Linked DNA regions of Macaca mulatta. The protein of the gene in region 1 interacts with the protein of each later gene in a biochemical or structural test. Links are inferred from orthologs where the notes say so. Each region holds a gene or a part of one and is shown on either strand. Other genes may lie near its edges. The genes, in order: RELN, VLDLR and LRP8.

Region 1 (7,708 bases):
TTCTTTTAGTTAGAAAGTAGTGGTGGAAAGACTCAGGGGCATGATGATAAATTTAACTACCATAGAACTAATAGGATTATAGCTATATGAAATTATTTAAAATCAGTATTCCCCCCCTTATATTAAAATAAACTTAAAGAAAAATACTTGTAAACATTTATGTGTACCAATGTATGTTAGCTCTTCCATATAACAAAACTTATGGGCCTTAAATCTGTGATTTTTTGTGGAAAAGGAATTGTACAGGGGAGAATTCTCTTGAAGGAAAATAATGAATTCGTACTTACCTTTTGCTATAAATCTAAGTGAAAACTGGACATACATCGTATTTGCACAATCCAGATCTCTTGAAATAAGCATCCTTATTCCTTCCTGAAAATAAAAACATATATGTTAAGCAACTCTTTTTTTCACTTGCAAAATTGTGTCCCTTTGATTTTATACACCTAACTTGCATTAGCCGAGTAATAAATACATATCATGATTAAGAAGCAAATTTTGCCTAGTTTAAAAGGAAATATGGGATGATCCTTGTTTCCCCTCTCTAAATGGCTTCATATCCTGTGCCTGAATGACACAGTTTCATTGTTTCAACTCTAAATCATACTTTTCTGTGACTCTTCTAAAAAGTGGTGCAAAAATGATAGCATTCCATATCTACAGGCCTTTTAAAAAAATAGACTCCTTTGATCACAGCATGTTATGAGAGGAGTAACGAGGAAGCAGATGGAATATGTGCCAAGTGCTCCCGCTGGAAGATGGGAACTAATAGGTAACTTTCTCAGGGTTCCAAGGAGTCTTAGGAACTTACTACTCCTTTGCTCACTCTGATAGCCCCAGGGGCTCTCATTCAGGTGGACACACCACCACCCCTCAGTGGGTCAAGTTAAATAAGGCATAACTAAGACAAGGCCTGATGCTCAGGCTGTAAGCATTCATGCAGAGAAGTCAATGAACAAGGAAAGAGACCACATTAGCTTTCATAATTTTTTCTGCTAATTTAACTACTTCTGGTTGCCTAGGATTGACAACTCGAAAGGTTCTTTTCTTCATGGGTACATAGGATTGCAGTGACAGCCAGTAAAACAGAATTTCACTATGCAAATAGCCTAAGGTCCAAACAGGTCTTTTAGTTTTTCAGCTGCAACTTCTGAATGACGTGACTCTTAACAGATGCATGGCTGTGTGATAATAAGTGGACACTATCAACTGATTTCTCATCAACTAACAAATGCCAAATGTAATTTTAGCTAAAAGAGAACATTTTTCCTCTTCTTCATCATATATATTATAGATCACATTGCTCAATAGCTGAAAAAAAAATGTAAGTAGAGCAAATTCCACAATAGCAACCATATGTTGAGTGCCTATACATGCTGGGTGCTAAGATAGACACTTTACTCATTTAAAGCACCTAGCACTACTAAGAGAAAAATGTTATTCTCATGTTGCAGATAAGGAAACTAAAACTCAGGGAGGGAAAGTAACTTCCTCAAGATTACATAGTTTGTAAGTGGTGATGGTAGGATTTGAACCCAGATATGTCATATTCTAAAATGTTTATCCTTTATAAGATACCAGTGTTTTGTTTATTAAACTATCTTTTGGTTTGGGGAGAAAAATATCCAGATAATGCCAAAGGTAGAATTTGAAAATTATTTGATGTTGTAATAAAAACGCAAGTGCATTTAACCTATCTCATAACTTCACAAAGCACAGATTCATACTTCCACAACAGGTTGCCATGTAAAAGCCTCATATTTCTAGTCTTTGTTTTTTCTTTTATGCCTAGTAATTCACTGCTCTGCTCAGTCCATGATCCCTAACCCATGCGTCTTCTTCATTTCTTCATGTCTTAATGTCTTTACCCTCTTCCTTATACACTTGCATAAAGCCTTGGATTTTGTTTTTTTTTAAGAGACAGAGTCTTGCTCTGTTTCCCAGTGGCTATTTATAAATGTTATCATAGCTCACTAGAGACTCGAACTCCTGGCCTCAAATGATCCTCCCACCTCAGCCCCCACTGTAGCTGGGACTAGAGATGTGCACCACTGTGCCTGGCTAAGTGTTGGATTCTTTTAGAGCTCAATGCTATGTGGAAGTTGAGGTTCAGAGGAAAGGTCCCTTCTTCAGATTGTAATGAAAAAGCTTTGAGGTAGATAGTTGACAGATTCAGGGAATAAATATCCCTTGCTAACATCAAAATATAGAAATAGGATTACTCTTTCCCCTTGATTATGGAATGCAAGTATAAAATTGTTCCCATGCGTCAATACAAGACACTCATAAAGGGACCTATTTTACTCTGTATTTTGTAGGAGCAATTTTATTGAAAGTGGGCATGATTTGTAAACTGAAAGTATCTTTCTTTTATATTTGCAATATTTGTTTATAGGTTAGCATTTTGTATTGATATTTATACAGCAGAACTGTCAAACTCTGCTGCCACATACATTCTAGTTCACACAGATGTGTTTTCTCATCCTTTTTCAGGTTCAGTGATCCATTTGTGCTAAATGTGAGAAATTCTTTCGTAACAAACAAGCTATTTTAATAGTAGATAGTATTCCTGAATCTGTAAACATTAAAAAGAGACTATCATATCCTTTTTCGCGAAAGAATGACTTTCTAGGTCACACTGCAATCTACTGAATGGCCCATGCTGCGTCCTCTCTACATCTTGCAGAGCTGATAGATAATACGTCTAACACATACAATGCTTGGCTGCTCTTGCATTTGGATGGCTAAAGGGAAAATACAAAACACCATGCATCTTCCTTGTTTAGAGGATCAAAAGACTAGGTTAATTCTACCACTTAAAGATTTATCAGATAAAGATCTGTCAATCACAAAAAGTTATAGGACTTCTGCTTTTTAGTCTTGTCAACTGATTCAAATGGGTCAGATGTGAGCTAGTGGTAACGAGAACTAATATCTTAGTTAAGACAAAACAAAACAAATCCTGCTGCTCCCAAAACCAGGAGTCTCCACTCTGAAATGTTCTACCTCAATTTCTTCAGTCCCTCAAAACTCTCAGGGACTTGTAAATCTTTCTCAGGCACTATGCATTGCTTTCTTTCTCATCCAAAACTTGAGAAGAATTTGGATTCAAGCAAGGATGATAACTGGCATCTATTAACTATAATTGAAAAGGTTCCAGGGTATCTAATTTTCTAGGTGTTAGATGTTAATCATTAGGGTTGTACAGAAACCCATGCAGGTTTTTGTCAAAGACTTCATTTGCACACCTAGGTTAGCCAATTTCCCCATGCTGAGAGAGATGGGTGTGGCATGTATTCACATATGAAGATGTGCCAGCTTAGCACAGAGTGTCACATAATTGCTTAACATCTCTCTAACCGAACATCTAGGCTGAAATACAAGATGATGTTTGAAAATGCTATTTTATTTGACTTAAATATTTGGTTTTCTTTTCTTTTTTTTTTTTTTTTTTTGAGACGGAGTCTCACTCTGTCACCCAGGCTAGAGTGCAGTGGTGTGACGTTGGCTCACTGTAACCTCCACCTCCCGGGTTCACGCCATTCTCCTGCCTCAGCCTCCCGAGTAGTTGGGACTACAAGTGCCTGTCACCACGCCCGGCAAATTTTTTGTATTTTTAGTGGAGACGGGGTTTCACCATGTTAGCCAGGATGGTCTCCATCTCCTGACCTCGTGATCTGCCCGCCTTGGCCTCCCAAAGTGCTGGGATTACAGGCGTGAGCCACCGCGCCCGGCCAAATATTTGGTTTTCTTAAAGTCACCAAATGGTTCTATGGGCAGAAGAAAAGAGAAAAGAAAAACTACAGACTGTTCATAAAGTCATTCAGAAAATATTCCAAGTTAAATATTTAGTAACATTAAATCTTAGATTATGGAAATTTACATTCTAAAAACTATATACATATAAATTTATGTATATAATTCCAGCAGGAAGTAAGGAAGGTCTGATCACCAAAGCAGAGGAAGAAGTTTATGCCCAAGTGATCATGAAAAAGTGACTGCACTCAGAAGAGGAAACAGGGTTTGGGCTAAAAGTCAATAACTATGCATTAAATATTATGTCATTTGAAGAGATTCAGAAATGCATTTGTGTTGAGCAGTGACTGAAGACGACAATGTTAGTAGTAATGTTGGGAAGGAGAATCTTATCTGTATCTGACCCCTTTAAAAATTAGAGATGTTCCAGATTTGATGGTTTCACCATTCAGATTCCCCCTCTCTGCACCATACACTTCAGGCCAAAGGTCAGGATGCAAGTTCCCATTGAAATCGTCTTTAAGAATCGAGGGCAGAGGAACAACAGGAACACAATAGGGTCCACCAAAGCCCCGGTCACACCTAAGAAAGAGAGGGAGTGGAGAAAAGACATTTGTCACGAGTTCAAAGAGCCATATTTATTTTTGCGTTAGAAAAGAAAGAAACTGCCAGTTTTATTAACTTACACACAGTGTCCAGCATCACAAATCCCTCGTCCTGAGCACATCCAAGGGCACCCTGAGGCCAGTACAACATTATCAATCGCCCAGGAATCAGCCCCCACAGTGTAGTTGGCCTGAATCCATCTGAACCGGGTCCTGGGAGAACTAACCAAAGAAAACACACCATTGGTTTGACGAGCAACCTTGAAAGCACAAGGACATTTATTTTAATTCCCTTTTCTCTTTAAAGTGCCCTCCTCCAGAGTCCAGTTGTCTCTTCCTTGACGCACTTTATCTTCCTACTAAGTAGTAGGAAATGCTGTTTTCTCTTGACTCATCAACAGGAGAGTAGAAAGCATGTTATTTATATATTTCACTTTTTTTTTCTCATGTAAGATTCTACAAACACATGTGTGAAATGGAAAAGTTATTTTGAAATATCCACTTGTTTTGTTTTTGAAATATATGCAGAATTTTAGTTTTTGCTTTCAGACTCTTATTGCTATTCAGTACTGGGAGGGACTGAAGGTGATAAACATGAGGAAAAGTTGGAGTCTTACAAAATTCTGGCAGTGAGGTCTCTATTTTACTGTCCCGGAATGGTTTCTGAGAGTAAATGGAAGCCCTTGATACTTCTGCACTCCACTTTGGTTCTCGAGGTCCTGGGTTTCTAAAGCTGAGGTCTAGAATGATGTGATGCATTCTCATATTTTCTATTTATTTGCAGTCTGTTATTTGGTGTATCTTGGGTCACAAGACTGCTTTATCCAGAAAGAGATGCAGACTTACCAAACAACAGTAACAGCCCCTGACTTAGGAAAAGTTTGCATAGGAGTGTGTTTGTCTATGATGTGGAATGTGGAACACAGTCTACTTGAAGTAGAATTTCAGCAGCACCATTCTAAGTAGTACTGTTTCCCCTACACAAACTCTCTGTGGATGTGACACAGCTGTCGGCATGGTGGCTTTAACATGGAAACCTCATCACAGCACCACTGTTTAACACCTGTCAGTGGTTCCCCTACACGTGCACTGTCAAGACCAAACTACTTATGACGACATACATGGTTCCTCCATTGTCTGCCCTCTTTCCTGGCTCCAGACCTCCTACTTCTCACCTTGCAATTATATTCTGGCAACACTGAACCCTTGAATTTTCCCATCCACTCATGCTTTTTCTGGCTTCCTGGATTTTGTTTTGGCTTACGCCAGCACAAGTGCCCTCTCGCTCCCCTCTTCTCCTGGATAAGCCCTACTCAGAGGCAGCTGAGACATCAACTCCTTTAGAAAGCTCCCTCCAGTTCTCCCCCAATGAGTTAGGTAGTATGCTCCTGTGTTTCGATAATATCTCTGAGTACTTCCTCTGGTATCATCTCATAGCATAAATAGCTGCTTAGAGGTTTGTTATCCTAAATACAGTGATGTGCCGCGTAACGACGTTTCTGTCGATGATGGACTGCGTTTATGACAGTGGTCTCATAAGATTATAATGGAGCTGAAAAAAATTCTTATTGTCGATTGACATCTTGATGATTCTGACCTTGTGTATGCCAAGGCTAATAATGTGTGTTTTTGTGTCTTAGTTTTTAAGAAAGAAGTTTTAAAAGTTAAAGTTCTCAAAATATTAAAAGCTTATAGAATATAGAAAGAAAACATTTTTGTACAGATGTACAATGTGCTTGTGTTTTAAGCTAAGTATTATCACAAAAGAGTCTAAAAGTTTAAGAAAAGTTTATAAAATGAAAAAGTTATAGTAAGGTGAATTTATTATTGAAGAAAGAAAATATTCTTTTTTAAAATTTAGTGGAGCCTAAGTGCATAGTGTTTATGAAGTCTATAGTAGTGTACAGTAATATTCTAGGCCTTCACATTCACTCACCACTCACTCACTGACTCACCCAGAGCAACTTCCAGTCCTGTAAGCTCTGTTTATGGGAAATACCCTGTACAAGTGTACCAGTTTTTAATCTTTTATACCATATTTTTATTGTACGTTTCCTATGTTTAGAGATACAAACACTTGGAATTATGTTACAATTGCTTACAGTATTTAGTATAGTAAAATGCTGTACAGCTTTGTAGCTGAGGAGCAATAGGTTATATCATACAGCATAGGTGTGTAATGGGCTAAACCATGAAGGTTTATGTAAGTTCACTCTATGCTGTTCACACAACAATGGAATTGCCTAACAATGCATTTCTCAGATGTATCACCATCGTTAAGTGATGCATGACTTTAATATATTTGGATCCCGGCATCAGCTTATTCATTTAGTACCAGAGTGCTTAAAACACTGTAGATATTCAATAAGTGTTTGTTGAATTAAAAAAAATGAGTAAATGAGCTACAACTAAGCACTATTTAAAGCTTTAGCAGTCATAGGAAACTACTTTAGGCTAAATACTAAAATGTTTTGGCTTCCTGAATTTTCCCTTGCCACTTGGTTGTACATTTCTGGATCAGGTTTGCACCAGGAAAACAGAAACCACTATAAATACTTAACACAGAAAGAAATTAATGCAAGGAATTGGATGTATAGAAAGTGGCAGATCAGAGAAGCCAGTAGAAGCAGCGAGGAAACCAGAGTTTAGCAAAGTCAGGAGGCCACTTACTATGAGTCTAAGACTAGAGGGACACAGGGAGGAAGTGTTGCTGTTGGTGCCCAGGGACCAGGGTCACCTGGAGGGCCACCCAGGGGAGCCAGAGCCACAGAAGTTGGCCAAGATGCAGCTGAGGCAGAAAGAAGGTGGAGGAACACCCTGATCTATCCCTTATTTCTCCCCTCCTTTCTCCTGCCAGTGTCTGACAGCAGAGGTAGGAGGCTGGGAAACGCAACCTGCCATTCAGAACAGAGCACAGGAAGGGAGAGGAAAGGATCCTGGGGGGAGCAGTCCCCATAGTACCCGTTAGTTCCTAGAAACATCCTCCAATGATCCAAATGCCTGCGCCACAAAAGTGGGAGCCTGCTGTAAGTCAGTACAACTCTTGAATGTGATCTGAAATGCCGGGGAGGGGAAGACAGATGCAAAATAATATGAGCATTCCAAAGGAACCAACCTTTTGTTCATATTGTGGTACTGAGATGAAAAAAAAAAAACTAAGGGTACTCTCCAATATGTGGTAATTTCACATACTGCTTAGTGTGAATAAGTATCAGTCTGGTTTATGGGCAGAGACTTATTTTTACAACAGTTTAAAAATGGAATCTGGTGGGCAGCCTTTATGTTAGCAAAGAACAGAAAAGTTCAGCCTCGTAAAACTTTTGGTGCTCTCTAGCCACATTTAAAAC
Region 2 (7,708 bases), on another chromosome or scaffold:
GCTTCCAGACATCCTGAGACTTTGGAGAAAGAAAGTAATGGCCAACCTGATGGAAAAATTCACTAAACTCCCTGTGCAACTTTTTGTCTCAAACTCTTCATCTGCTCTTCATACTGTAAGTTCCAGAAATTGTCCATAATAAGAATCTGCCCTATCCCAGCCAGGATAAAAATTTAGGTGATATTATAATTATATTCTTCATGAAGTCACATCAAAACAGTGGTTTTTAAGCTTTAGTTTACATCAGTATTGCCTGAAGGGCTTATGAAAGCAGGTTTCAGCCCTAGCCCGCAGAGTTTCTGATTCAGTAGGTCTGGGATGGGGCTGAGAACTTGCATTTCTAACACATTCCCAGGTGATGCAGATGCTTCTGTTCCCGGGACCACACTGAGAACCCTGCCTTAGATTGTTCAAGAATGCCATTGCTTGCTATCCTCCCTGGGCATCTTCACAGTAAGACAGTCTAGACTTTTATAAGAAGAAAGCCCTTATCCATGCCTTAGAAGGCACTTGTCCTTGACCTAAATAAATGACAGAACATGGAAAACAGACTTAACTATAAAGAAGCAGAATTCATAGAAATCTTAGCATGTGTTTCTCGATCAGGAAACAAGTTAATGGAAAAGAATCTCCTCTAACCAAAAGGAATTCTAGGTACAGACTAAGCTAGCTTCTTTTACACAGTAAGAAATATTTTGGGAGCAAATGTTAAACAGTACTTCATTTTTTAGCTGTACTTGGGTGTAAGAGAAACTAGCCCAATTACAGGCTTAGTTATACAACATCAAGAATTATAGCTCACACAGAACACTTGATACTACTCAGGCTAGGATTTCATCCTAGAGGAACAGGCACAAACCATGGTTAAGCTGCTTGGTTTAATTTTTTAGCACTTGAAAAAAAATGTACAGTAGTTTGAATACTCAGTCTTTGCAAACCTCCATTGAGGTCAAAGATTTCATTCATACGTACAAAATTAGTTTACAAATTTTTTTTTGGCAATTTCATCTTAGTAACCCGTTTTATCCTATTGCCATTGTCCCAACCATTGAAAAAGTTTACAATAATTTACATAGAAATATTTTCAAAGTGCTTAAGAATAGTGATTGTTCTCTGGGATATTTACAGATGGCCTATACAATGTATGTACAGGTGGTATACACTATAGCACAAGTTTCATTGCTGGAATATGGCTTTCTAGGGAAAGTGCATATTTGGCCAGAGGTGGCAATACTGTCTAGAAATTCAAGGGTTACAGATACTTAGTAACCACATCCAAAGCTGAAGTAGAATGTGGACAAGAATATTTACAAAAGTAATATAAAAACGGTCAAGTACACAAGCTTGATCCACACAAAGGTATCTTGATGTTCTTCCAGCCGAGAGGAAGAAAGAGACTTCAGCTGCTGGCTCGGTTACTGTTCCGACGGGGGTATTATTTGTTTAGACCTCAAAGGTCAAGACTTGTCACAGAAGTCAAGCTAGATCATCATCTGTGCTTACAACTGATATCTGTGGAAAAGAAGAAGTATGGAATGAGCTTGGTGATCACTCACTGATGGCAACTCTCGTCTTTAAAATGGACCCTGCTTTTTAGTTGGTCATTCGAACACAGAGTGCTCAGAAGAAAAGTCAGATACAAAAGAGTACTGAATTGTATCATTCATGCATTTAATTTGAATTCAACTATACCTGCTTGGTAGTGAGATAAGATAGTGTGACTGATTCTGCCTCTTCTACTTAATGATCATAAGTCTTGGAGAAAAATGTGAAAAGCCATCTGTGTCAAGAATTGACCACTGTTCCATGTTTCACCAGAGCTTGAGAGGGGAGCAATCAATACTTGGTTTTTTCAGCCTGTTTCCTACGTGAAGGCCAAATACTCCACTTGGGTTTCATCTGAAGAACAAGTGAATGACTACTGCTAGAAGAAAAGCTAGCTATACTAAGTGTGCTAAGTGTGGTGGGATACTTTTTAAAGCAAAGTGTATCATAATTTTGGCTAAGTGAATCTTACTCAATACACTGACTTTAAGCCAACTCCCCTATATAGGATATGCTAATTTACTTTCAAATATCCAGTAGGCAATGGATTTAATAGTTCAGTAAAGAGCTACTTGGTTCATGCTAATATTTACATGTCATTTCTATAACCAAAAATATCTTAATATAGTGGTGACCTTAAGTTGACCCTCTTGCCATTTGGTGAGGGTTAGATGCTGATCAACTGACTGACTTATGTTCTAATAGGCTACACTGTCTAATGTCCAGGTGGCAGATGAAGTATTTGGTAACTCCATCATTCTAATGGCTCTCTTTCTAGCCTAGGTCTCCTTTCTGAAAAGTCTCACTTCAAGCCATGGTATATAAAGACACAAAGCTGACTTACTGCTGGGTATGTGTGTCCAACAGAAGCACTGTGTCTACCGATGTCTATGGAGAGGTCCTCTTCAGTGGTTTTCAAGTACACAGGATTGTCAAAGTTCATACTTTTCATGTTCTTGTGTTGCCAATTCCGCCACATCAAGTAGCCACCTACTGCTGCCATCACTAAGAGCACTGAAAAAAATCAGAGGGTAGCTAAGTGAGTTAAGTCTAATATTGGAACATACAAGAAAGGTAATAATGTTCAGGAATCCATAATAATTGACATTAGTAAAAATGTTATGTTTTATGGAGCTAGGATAACTAGAAGTTGGAATAAACATGGGCCAGGAGCTTGAAACAAGTTCAGTCCAGAGGTAGTTCTATGCACTGGAGCTGGGCTAGCCACATCCATCCAGGCAAGGGCAGGGTCCTCGGTCCCACTTTAGGCTCACCAAATTAAAATTGCAGAAGGTTCTGGAGAGCTATTCAGGTGTTCCTGGTGTGTTAGCTAAGCTTGGAATCTATTAATTTAGGACAAAGGCTTTTATAGCCAAGTCCTTGTAATTCGCATGTCTCATAATAGTTTGAGGTCCTTTTTCCATAGGTTTGAAAATTCTTAACTGCTTTTAATTTACCCTCAACAAGTCCTGTAACTCTTCAAGAAAGCATTTAAGCATTTGTGCATCTCCTCTGTATAAAACATTACACGCATTTCAAAGGGGGAACAGAAGAGCAGTTAAAGAGACTTATAAGGGGACAAGCCAGGCTAACAGTGCTGAAGTGGAAAGCATTAACTGTTGAACATTTATCATGCCAGTTACTGTGCCAACGGCACAAATGAAGAGAAAGATATGGGCCTTAATTTAGTGTACTATGTGGGGGAGAAAGTGAATATAATTCAGTGTCATAAGTGCTATGACAGCATAAAAGGGTAGCTCCAGATGAACAAAAAATATTCGTCTGGTATCTAAGTAGTTCTTGAACCCAGACTTGTAGGAAATCTACTTACAGAGAGGAAGAATGGCCCAAGCGGCAGAAGTCCCTTTTGGGGGAACACTGACCTCTGATACTGCTGTGGTCACATTGATCCCTACAGAGGAATAAAAGGAATCCGTTTAGAAGGGTCTGTATTAAGATTTAGAGATTTACCCATCAGGTAAGGAGCCAAAACCTTTGCATCCAACATTGATGTTCACTATCTACTACAATTGAACACCAGGAACAACTCTGGCCTAGAAGTATTTGAGTCACATGCTGTAGTAGCCATTTCACTGACAGTTCTCTACTAGAAACCTTAAAGATCAGTCAGGAAAAGATATGCAAATTTTAAGTCTTTGGTGTTTAAATATAGGTTACCAATTGGGGCAGAAATAGTAGTTAAAGGTTGCATTAATTATTTAAGCTATAGATACAAAGAGTGTGGCTGTTAGTGGAGATTAACAGTTTGCAGTACTGAACTCGATACCTCCAGGAACTAGTCCACTAGTTGGTGAAATTTCTGTTGTGTTCGTATCTTTTGTCTCACTGTAAGTCACAGTAGTTGCAGTACCTGAATTATAAAAACCAAGAACCTGGTTAATGCCAAGGTTCCAGAATGGCTAGCTCTTTTGTCCAGACAAGCCATGCAAAAGGTTATTTTAAAACCAGGTAAAAGAGACAAACCACTGCTGAACTAAGTTGTACAGCTGATGTGTCAAAATTGAAATAGCAATCTTCATGCAAAAAGAGATACCATGAAACTTTGGGAAGAACAGTCGGTATTTGGAATTTGACAATTCAAAATGATGGACAACCATATTTTATCCCTCTAAACAATATCCCATGTTCCTGGAAATTACAAGAAATGTTTTCAAGATGCTCTGGTATAGCAGGCATACCAGACTGTCTTGCAACTAATTTCTTGGTAAACTGAGCTAATCCCTGCCGTGACCTGACCATGAATCATGCTAGTAAAAACCTCACCAGCCTCACCATATGAGCTCCTTGGCCACACAAAGGAGTTTAATTTGCCACTTAATCAAAAGCTAAGAACAGAAGACTAAATGCAAATTCAGCTTAAGTGTTATTTTAGGTAAGCGTCACCCACGAGGCAATGAGGTTTTTGTAACCATGGCCTTCCTTAAGCATAGTTTCTGTCCTCCTCCTTTTGAGGAAAAATGTTAAGGCCTCGTTTAATTACCTGCAAGTCGGCTAGCTCCGTGCTGTTAAGGGACTAACTGGTACAAATTAGTATAAGGTATGTTGACACTATAGTCTCCTATAAACTCATTTAATGTTGACATGGGTTAAAGTCAGTTCTAAAGAAATGACATGATAACCCGGCATACAACAATAGCAGATATCTTCTCAAATCTATTCAAAGAATTAGCTAAAACAGAATTCTTAAAAATCCAAGCTTGTGTCTTATATTGCTTGTTGTATGTTCTACTTGTAGTTGAAACACAAAATGCCTTACTTTGGCAGTCTCGGCCATTTTCCTCTAGATTGAACCCATTGGGACAGGAACAGGTATATTTTGGAGAGTGATCATTAATCTGTGGTGCTGGCAGGCATAGGTATTCACATCCTCCATTCTCCATGTCTTCTTCACACCAATTTTTACCTAGTCAGGAAAAAATACCATTAAAATGGGTATTCCAATGCCTAGTATATATAAAGCCTTGTTCTACGTGTTGAAGACCTGAGTCCTTGCCCCCAAGAGCTTAGACTTGTTGACTCTGGCAATCCTTCAAGTGAGAGCAATATCAAGGAAGAATAAGTATAAAGGTACAGGCAGCATGCTCTAAGGACACCAAATAAGAGACCTCTTAGAGACAGACTGTAAAAGTTATGTCTTTAAGAGACAGATTTCAAAAGAGAAGGTGGGGAAGGGAGGTGAGGGACCAGGACTGGCTCTCACTATTGGCCCAAGGTTTAGTGTGAAGGCTCAGAGAAAGGAGACTAGGCATGTTCTCCTGGTTTTCTCTTTACTTGCTCCAACAAAGTGGAAGGAAACTCAGCCTTAGGAAGGTTTGAAGGTTTTATTTAGATAGAACCAGCCAAGTGTTTTCAGCAGGACATAATATAACCTGATGTGTTTGAGACTCTACACAATCCTATATCAGGTGTGTCACAGGGAAAAAGTAGGTGTTACAAGTTGAATTGTGTTCCTTCCTAAAATTCATATATTGAAGTCCTAGTACCTCAGAATGTGATCTGATTTGGAGATATTGAAGATAGGATATTTACAGAGGTAATCAAGTTAAAATGAGGTCATTAAGCTGGGCTCTAATTCAATATGACTGGTATTACAGTTCACGCCTTTAATTCTAGCTCTTTGGGAGGCCAAGGCAGGCAGATTACATGGGGTCAGGAGTTTGAGACCAGTCTGGCCAACATAGTGAACATAGTGAAACCCCATCTCTACTAAAAATACAAAATGTAGCTGAGCATGGTGGCTCACTCCTGTAGTCCCAGCAACTCGGGAGGCTGAAGCAAGAGAATTGCTTGAACACAGGAGGTGGAGGTTGCAGTGAGCTGAGATTGTGCCACTGCACTCCAGCCTGGGCGACAGAGCGAGACTCCGTCTCAAAAAAAAAAAAAAAAAAAACCTGGACAAAAGCATATACAGAGGGAAGATGATGTGAAGAGACACAGGCGGAAGCACTGTCAACAGACCACGAAAAGAGGCCCTGAACAGATCCTTCCCTCACAGCCCTCAAGAGGCACCAACCCTGCTGGCACCTTGATTTCAGACTTCTGGCCTCCAGAATTTTGAGACAATAAACTTCCGTGGTTTAAGGCAGTTTGTGGCACTTCATTGCAAAAATCCTAGCAAACTAACAGTAGAGGAAGTTTGTAGCACAAAAGCTACTTTGGAGGCTACTGCAATAGTCTTGGCAAGAGGGGCTGAAGGCCAAGGGGACATGGATGAAGCAGAAATAAAAGATCTGACACTGAGGCTTGGGAGGGAAGCTAGGAGCTGAAGCTGAGAAGCCATTTCTCTAAGGCAGCAGAAATAAAAAAATAACGTGTGAACTGTTTGAGGTAGGGTACGGGAGGGCAAACGTTCCTTTTAAAGAAAGGGGAGTTGCCAAGAGCCACTGACATCCAGTAGGTTCTGTGTCATGCTGCTTCCCTTAAAGTGGTTATTAAGGAGTGTGCTTCTCCACGGTACCTGATGGCTGTACAAGTTCATGATAGACAATGATGTCTTGGGCATCATTAAGGTTGTTGACTAGAGTGGCTAGCTCTGATCCAGTGAATTTATTGGCACCATAGACTGCTTCGTTTTCCCCATCTATCCAGTAGACACGATCCTACAACAGAACCCCACAATTAGCATGTACATCCAGGATTAACACAAGTCCATTTCTAAGGTCATCATTTACTTCTCATTTAATGGACTAAGTTTATTGAATGCTGAGCTGGGACACTAGATATAAAACTGTAAAAGAATCAAGTTTAGGTTTGAAGTGCTTCTGGGAATTAGTGTCTAATTTGTACCAGGTTTTAAGTGAAAGCAGTTTCTCAAGCCATGCTCAGCTGCTCTTCCCTCCTCCCGCCATGTCTGTCATTTCTCCTCAAAGTGATATAATAGCTGAAAGGTATACACACTTTGATGTGAGACACATCTTACCTCAAATATTGTTAGTGCAAGAGGGTGAGCTAGGAACTCCAGAGACTTTAGTACTATCCTACGATCTTGGCCATTCAAGTCCACGCTGGATAACATGTGCAACTTAGAATCAAGCCAATAGAGGCGGCTTTTTATAAGGTCTAGGTAGGAAAAGAATTGTCATTACATGACAAGCCACTACTACTCTGGCTTCCATTTAAAACATCTAATGGATTAATATTCTACTTTTATGGTTCTTTCCCCAGCAGGGTTTCTTAACAGGGGTCACACAAACCTGGCAAAGCAGCATGCAGAATCTGTATCCACATTCATTTTTGGGGACTAACGGGGTACCTGAGATTCTCAAAGTAAATGACTTAAGAAATACTACTCACATTACAGAAAATATTAAAAGAGGCTGGCATTTTGTTGTTCTCCTCCACAAAGCCAGAAGAAAACTGTTAAAAGCCTGCAATTCAGGAAATGCTAAGGCATTCATGCCCAGAATATTTAGTATGAGTGCACCCAAGGCCCAACCTTCACTGAGTTCGTGCCACATATTAGGCCCAGCTGGACAACAGGTCAGTAGTTACGGAATGTGTAATTTGCTAATCCACCATTTTACTTGTGTTGTTCAGTTACTCCCATTGAAAATTCCTGCTAGAATTTAGGCGGAAGCAGAAGAGTCATCTGCTAGTCCAGAATTCACCATGGAGATAAATGGAAACACTATGAAGATAGTTG
Region 3 (7,708 bases), on another chromosome or scaffold:
ACTGCATCCTTGAACTCCTGGGCTCAAGGGATTCTCCCACATCAGCATCCCGAGTAGCTGGGACTAGAGTAGCTGGGACTACAGGCATGCACCACCACACCTGGCTAATTTTTTAAATTATTTTTTTTTGTAAAGACCAGGGCTCACTCACCATCTTGCCCAGGCTGGTCTTGAACTCCTGGGTTCAAGCAATCTTCCTGCCTCAGCCTCCCAAAATGTTGGTATTACATGTGTAAGCCACCATGTCTGGCCTTCGTTACATTTTCCAATTGGTTCTTGCTGATTAAAAAAGAAGGTAATGATCTTTTATGTTGATTCTTGATTAACTAAGATTATTTCTGATAGTTTTTCACCAGGTTCAGAGTTCCTAAAAATATAAATAGCTGTTAATAAGAGTTTGGTTTCCTCCTTTCTCTTATTTATTTATTTATTTATTTATTTATTTATTTTGAGATAAGGTCTCCCTCTGTTGCCCAGGCTGGAGTGCAGTGGCACTACTGTGGCTCACTGCAGTCTCGACCTCCCAGGTTCAAGCAATCCTCCCACCTCAGCCTTCTGAGTAGCTGGGACTACAGGTGCCCACCACCATGCCCAGCTACTTTATATTTTTTGTAGAAATGGGTTTTCACCATGTTGGCCAGGCCTGTCTCGAACTCCTGGCCTCAAGTAATCTGCCTGCCTCAGCCTCCCAAAGTGTTGGGATTACAGGTGTGAGCCACTGTACCTGGCCTCCTTTCCCATATTTATACTCTTAAATGTTTTTCTGGCCTTACTGCATAGCTAGATCTCTAGGACAATAAATATTACCAGTGGTAACTGCCTTGTTTCTGTCTTTAGTGCATATCAATTATTGTAATCTTACTAAAACGGAAACCCCTTCTATACCATCCTAGATAGGTGATCATTCAGCCTCCATTGGGATACTGAGTGACTGCTAACCACCTTACGAGCTACTTGCTCCATTTTTACCCAGCTCTGTTGGACAGAGCTTCCTCCTTTAATCATTAACATATTCATTTATTCTAAATCACAGCTTATGTTGCCCTCTGTGTCTCCTTCTAGAGATGTTCTTCTTCAGGTGGAGCCTCACCTTTGGAAATAAACACTGTACCTGGCCCCATCCCACTCTCCACCCCCCAGTTTTGGGAGAGAATGGTTTTCTTAGAGAAATGTAGGGAAGCAGCAGCATTAGGGCAAAGGTGTGGTAAAATTCACTCATTCATTCAGCACGTTACTAGGCACCTACTCAGTGCTAGGAACTGGGCATAAAGAGTTAAAAAAAAAAAAAAAAAAAAAAAGACACAGTCCCTGCCTTGAAAGAGCTATCTAGTTGGGAGTACAGATACATAAAGTAAGATACTGTGTGTGATCTGGGAGCACACATGAGAGAGCAACTGCCTCTGCCCACAGTTGGGGAAGACTTCACATTTGAGCAGGATCTTTAAGGATGAATAGTTAATAAGGGAAAGAAGGGATGAGAGATGGGCTTTCAAACAGCAGAAAAAGAACATGCAGAAACAGAGCCTGAGGAGCAAGGGGCAGGAAAGGTGGAGTGGTGACAAGCCTTGCACTGATGTCTGAGCAGTGGGCTGGAGCCTGCTGGAGGTCCAATCTCCTGTGTCCTTCCTCCAGTGGTGATAGCCCTGCTGTGCATGAGTGGATACCTGATCTGGAGAAACTGGAAGCGGAAGAACACCAAAAGCATGAATTTTGACAACCCAGTCTACAGGAAAACAACAGAAGAAGAAGATGAAGATGAGCTCCATATAGGGAGGACTGCTCAGATTGGCCATGTCTATCCTGCAGTAAGTATTTCTCACTGGGAGAATTCCTACCTTCTGACCATCTTCCCTTCCATCCTTTCTTCTCCTCCCATCCTTTCTTCCTTCCCATCCTTTCTTCCCTCCCTTCCTTCCTTCTGTCCTTCCCTCCCTCCCTTCCTTCCTTCTGTCCTTCCCTCCCTCCCTGTCTTTTTTCTTTCCTTCTTTCCTTCCTTTCCTCCCTCCTTCCCTTCCTCCTTCCTCCCTTCCTGAAACATTTATCGAGAACGTACCATGTATCAGGCACTGTTCTAGGCCCTGGGGAACACAGAAATGCTGGGGTAGGTGGTTAAGGTAAAAAGGTATCAGGACCACCTTGTACCTAGAGGCTTTTCCTGGCAGTAAAAAAGCCAAATGTCTCTTTCTGCTCAGTAAATTTTCAGAACCTTTGGCCTGGAAGGGTAACTGTGGCCATTTAATTCAAATGTATTCATTTCAATACTGTATGCCAGTTATGTGCCAAGCACATTAGATATCAAGTATTCAAAAGTCAATAAGGAATGTGCTTGCTCCCAAGAAGTTGGTAGGGAGTTAGAGATACTAACATACAGTGGTATAATTGTGTGCTGAGTGCCGTGGTGGAAGCTCAGGAGTCCCCTCTTCTAGAAAGCTATCCTTGGCTTGCTTTGTTCTCCCACAGTCCTCCGGGCCTCTCTGCCTCACAGCCCCTATCACACTGTAGTCCACTTGTCTTTTACTCAGTGGTCTCCTCACTAAACCCTAAGATCCTTGAGGGCAGAACTGTCTGATTAATCTGTTTTCCTGATGTCTAGCACAGTATGGCTGACTCCCAACAAATATTTGTTGAATAGATGCTATGGAAACATCAACAAGGGAGCTATGAATTCTGTCTGGAGAATCAGGCAAGGAATGCCTCACAGAGAAGGTGACAGATGGACTATGTCCTTGAAAGATTAATAGCAGTTTTCCCAGGAGAGAAGGAGGGAAATGGCATTCCAGATAGAGGCATGTGCAAAGGCTTAAAGGCACAACACAGCATGGCTTTTTGGGGGAATGAGGACCATGAAGTGGCACAACAGGTGTCACTGTTATACAGCAGAGTCAGGGGGCTGAGTGTGACCTCAGAGGTCATCCACAGTGCCATCCCCCTGTCAGGCAATCAGCAGCTTTGATCGCCCACTGTGGGCAGAGCCCTGTCTTGGGGAGACCAGAGAACTGGAAGACCCAGCCCCTGCCCTCAAGGAGCTTTTTGTCTTGCCGGGGGAACCAAGGTCACAGCTGCACCAACTCCCGAGGAACCCTCTTTCCGAGCTGCCTGTCGTCAAGTCCAAGGTAGGGCAGTGCCACTCTAAGTCTGAGGGGCTGGTGAGTGAGGGCATGAACCAAGGCAGGCGCAGCCAATCCTAGAAGGCTTTCTGGTTTGGGAAGGCTGCAAATTGTAAGCTGGGTGTTGGAGCAAAGAAGAAAAATGGGTTAGTCACAGACCAATGAATGGCATGTGGAAGAAAGCGATCAAGTTTGGAGCAGAGCAGACAGAATTGCTGCTGAGGCAAATTGTTCATGAAGGGGAGACATGGGAAATGAGATGGAGCAAATGAGGAGGGTTAGCAGACGGCCTTGAGGATCCTTAACCTCGGCCAGTCCAAAAAAAATAGTTGCTTGACCAATTTTTGAAGATCAGAGGGGGCACAGTGGAAGAAGCACTGAACTTGGAGTAAGAAAATTCCCAGTTCCATCCTTCCACAGCCCTGTGATCTCAGTCACTTCTTTCTGCTCACTGTTATTTGTAAAATGAGAATAATAACCCGCATTCTACCTGCCTCCTGAGTTTATAAAGTACAAGTGAGATAGCACATGTGAGAGCACTTTGTGACTTACAAAGCACTCTGCACATGTAAAATGACATTATTTCCAGAGAAAGAAATGACTCAGGGGGAGTTACTCCTGATGAGTCTAAGGACTGAGTAATAAGCTTCTGCCAGTTGCAGAGAAATAGAGTAGTAGAATGAGGAAATCAACATTTATTGAGCACCTACTGTGTGTCAGACACTGTTCTCAGTGTTTTACATACATTATCTCATTTAATCTTCAAAATAACCTTATCAAGCCAATATTATTAGCCCCATTTTGCAGATGAGGAAACTGAGACTCATAGAAATTGAATAACTTGCCTAAGGTCATAGCCAGGAAGTGGCAGAACCAGAATTCAAACTCCAGTCTGTATATACACAAAAGCCCATGCTCTTTCCTTTATATCATGAGGTAAATAGCCTTGAAGCTCTGGAAATCAATATTCTCAACAACCTGTCTCTCCTCTGTCGATTTCTCCGGTAACTGTACCATCACTACTGGGGCCTATCTTTGGCCTAGAGATCTGTCTTGGAGAGAGTGGGAGGGTGGCTGGACTAGAATAAGGTAGTCTCAATTATCTACACTAGTGGAGGATGGCCATTGCATTCATTAAAAAACTACAGATAACCCAAAGATGACTTGAAAGGCAGTAGAGTTACTTTTTATCATATGTAGAATGTCCAGAGATGGGAGATACTAGTCTGATTCTATTTTATGCTGGTTACGTTGACCTAGGATACTCTGGGCCCTATGTGTTGTTAGGTACTACATTAAACACTCTCCATGCATTATCTCATTTGATTCCTCAACAACCCTGTGAGGTAGGTCCTATTACTATTCCCATTTGATAGATGATAAAACTAAGTCTCAGAGAAGTAAACTGGCGGGCCCGAATTCACATAACTATAAGAAAAATACTGAAGCTGGGGAGGGTCTTTCCAAAGGAGGGTATCTGGGAAATGGAAAAGAGGCAAACAAGATTACATCAGGACTAGATGGGGAAAGTTAGATGTTATCCTGGAGAAGAAAACACTCAGAATGAAGGGAAGGGAATTCAAACACCATCTATAAATTTCAAGGGTTGTCCTATGTAGAACTGTCTCTGAGTCTGAGAGATGGAATCAGGGAATGTCAGAAGATATAAACAAACAAATTTCACATTAATATAGAAAAGAATTTAAATCTGTTGTCCACAATGGAATAGACTGGCTCAGGGGTTAGTGGGCTCACCATCTCATGGTCAGCCATTTTTGGCAGACAGGAGTCTAGCATCTACCTAATGACTAGAAAGTAGGGGTGAGGGAGAGAGGGATGGAATTTAATTAACCTGCATTGCCTCCCGATTCTGTTTAATCTGTTGGGAAGGTGCAGTATATTACCTTCCTAAATGTGATTAGCATGCTAGAGACAAGTAACCCCATAGCCTGAAATTTAACATTTGCCAAAGCTAACCCACTGAAATTGACCAAACCTAAAATCCTATAAGGGAGGATTGAGAAAATTTAGATCTGAGCAACTCTTCTTTACAAAGATACAAAACAGAATGATGAAAAAATCTACAGCTTTGGATTCATACAGACCTGGGATCAAATTTTAGTTCAGCCACTTGCTATGTGATCCAGAACAAACCCTACTTAAGCTCATTGAGTTTGTTTTCTCATCTGTAAAATAAATAGGATAAATCTTGTCTCTTGGGAGAGTTTGAAGATTATGTGAGCTAATACCTATTAAAGTAACATAAGTCTGTACTTTGTCAATAATAAATAGTAACTCTTATGGATCTAACGATGAATTCTTTGGTTTGTCTCCCCAGCGAGTGGCATTAAGCCTTGAAGATGATGGACTACCCTGAGGATGGGATCACCCACTTCGTGCCTCATGGAATTCAGTCCCACCCACTACACTCTGGATGGTGTATGACTGGATGAATGGGTTTCTATATATGGGTCTGTGTGAGTGTATGTGTGTGTGTGATTTTTTTTTTAAATTTATGTTGCGGAAAGGTAACCACAAAGTTATGATGAACTGCAAACATCCAAAGGATGTGAGAGTTTTTCTATGTATAATGTTTTATACACTTTTTAACTGGTTGCACTACCCATGAGGAATTCGTGGAATGGCTACTGCTGACTAACATGATGCACATAACCAAATGGGGGCCAATGGCACAGTACCTTACTCATCATTTAAAAAATATATTTACAGAAGATGTTTGGTTGCTGGGGGGACTTTTTTAGGTTTTGGGGGGTTTGTTTTTTGTAAATAAGATGATTATGCTTTGTGGCTATCCATCAACATAAGTAAAAAAAAAAAAAAAAAAAACTTCAACTCCCTCCCCCATTTAGATTATTTATTAACATATTTTAAAAATCAGATGAGTTCTATAAATAATTTAGAGAAGCGAGAGTATTTATTTTTGGCATGTTTGGCCCACCACGCAGACTCTGTGTGTGTATATGTGTGTGTTTATATGTGTATGTGTGTGACAGAAAAATCTGTAGAGAAGAGGCACATCTATGGCTACTGTTCAAATACATAAAGATAAATTTATTTTAACACAGTCCACAAGGGGTATATCTTGTAGTTTTCAGAAAAGCCTTTGGAAATCTGGCTCAGAAAACAGATACCATGGTTTGTGCAATTATGTAGTAAAAAAGGCAATCTTTTCACCTCTGGCCATTCCTGCGACCCCAGGAAGTCAGGAAAAGCCTTTCAGCTCACACATGGCTGCTGTGACTCCTACTGGGGCTTTCTTGGCTTTGGCAAAGGTCAGTGTAGAGATATTCCATGGTACCAGAGTGCTCAGAAACTCAAGATAGAATATGCCTCACCCTCAGCTACTCCTTGTTTTAAAGTTCAGCTCTTTGAGTAACTTCTTCAATTTCTTTCAGGACACTTGGGTTGAATTCAGTAAGTTTCCTCTGAAGCACCCTGAAGGGTGCCATCCTTACAGAGCTAAGTGGAGACATTTCCAGAACAGCCCAAGTTTACTATAGAGACTGGCCCAGGCTCTGAACATCTGGGACATGCTGTGGTTGAGAATAAAGATGGTGGAATAGGTTTTATTACATCTCTTATTTCTCTTTTCCCCTTACTCTCTACCATTTCCTTTATGTGGGGAAACATTTTAAAGTAATAAATAGGTTACTTACCATCATATGTTCATATAGATGAAACTAATTTTTGGCTTAAGTCAGAACAACTGGCCAAAACTGAAGTCATATTTGAGGGGGGAAATGGCATACACAATATTATAGTATATTGGATATTTATATTCACACAGGAATTTGGTTTACTGCTTTGTAAATAAAAGGAAAAACTCTGGGTATATGTATAGATGCTCTTCATTATAGACACCTTCTTTGCTTTTCCTGGCCTTGCGGGAGGAAGGGAGAAGTGCTCTTTTCTATTTGTGGGGTCTCCCATTGGAAACATAATCCTATAGTCCCAGAAGGATTCAGTCCCCACTGGCTTTCCCATCCAAAGAGAAAGAGTTTGAGTTTCTTAACTCTGTTGTTCTGCCACTTACTCCCAGTAGACAACCAGGGACAAGGTGCAACATGGAAGTGTTTGACTTAAGTAGGAGCAGAGGAGATGCATCTAATCTCATCATACCTGGAACTTGACACACTTAACCAAATGCCTTCCCATCCCTACCTGCCAGATGCCCCCAACTCAATGAAGGTTGGATGTCTCACCAGCTTGATACCCTTTGAATTTTCAGTCAGACATTCTGGAGTTCTAGCATCCTGTACCTAGGACCTTCCTCTGCATCACTCTTGGCCTCCTAAACTCTAAGAAAATAACTATATTCTGGAGCTTGGGCACTGTGTTTTGCATAATCCAGCAATCTCCTCATGACATGCATGTGTTGATAGTCCTGAAATATTCCATTGAGAGGGTAAATGCAGTTGACCTAGAATGACCAATAACAAACAGAATTTTAAGAACAGGTGGCCAACTCCTATGGAGCTTACTCACATTACCATTCTTTTAAGAACGGAGAGTAAAATTATTTTTGACTGAAGAAAAATGATGACAGTGAAAAACATGGAAATTTACTCAAAACAAGTGAC

What was found.
Region 2: the proteins of RELN (region 1) and VLDLR form a complex in vitro, tested with the Homo sapiens proteins (6 studies listed by BioGRID). The link is inferred for Macaca mulatta from reciprocal best matches to the Homo sapiens genes RELN and VLDLR.
Region 3: the proteins of RELN (region 1) and LRP8 form a complex in vitro, tested with the Homo sapiens proteins (7 studies listed by BioGRID). The link is inferred for Macaca mulatta from reciprocal best matches to the Homo sapiens genes RELN and LRP8.

What each region holds. Positions count from the first base shown.
Region 1 is NC_133408.1:143,155,993-143,163,700, forward strand, and holds part of RELN (reelin), read right to left. Parts: intron 4,584-7,708; coding exon 4,443-4,583; intron 4,339-4,442; coding exon 4,161-4,338; intron 373-4,160; coding exon 288-372; intron 1-287. UniProt on the Homo sapiens protein: Extracellular matrix serine protease secreted by pioneer neurons that plays a role in layering of neurons in the cerebral cortex and cerebellum by coordinating cell positioning during neurodevelopment.
Region 2 is NC_133420.1:96,802,078-96,809,785, forward strand, and holds the end of VLDLR (very low-density lipoprotein receptor), read right to left. Parts: intron 7,126-7,708; coding exon 6,986-7,125; intron 6,666-6,985; coding exon 6,524-6,665; intron 4,970-6,523; coding exon 4,823-4,969; intron 3,917-4,822; coding exon of another isoform or gene 3,833-3,916; intron 3,458-3,832; coding exon 3,377-3,457; intron 2,560-3,376; coding exon 2,390-2,559; intron 1,513-2,389; coding exon 1,477-1,512; 3' UTR 860-1,476; downstream 1-859. UniProt on the Homo sapiens protein: Multifunctional cell surface receptor that binds VLDL and transports it into cells by endocytosis and therefore plays an important role in energy metabolism.
Region 3 is NC_133406.1:187,356,204-187,363,911, forward strand, and holds the end of LRP8 (low-density lipoprotein receptor-related protein 8), read left to right. Parts: intron 1-1,632; coding exon 1,633-1,805; intron 1,806-2,936; coding exon 2,937-3,113; intron 3,114-5,445; coding exon 5,446-5,484; 3' UTR 5,485-5,932; downstream 5,933-7,708. UniProt on the Homo sapiens protein: Cell surface receptor for Reelin (RELN) and apolipoprotein E (apoE)-containing ligands. LRP8 participates in transmitting the extracellular Reelin signal to intracellular signaling processes, by binding to DAB1 on its cytoplasmic tail.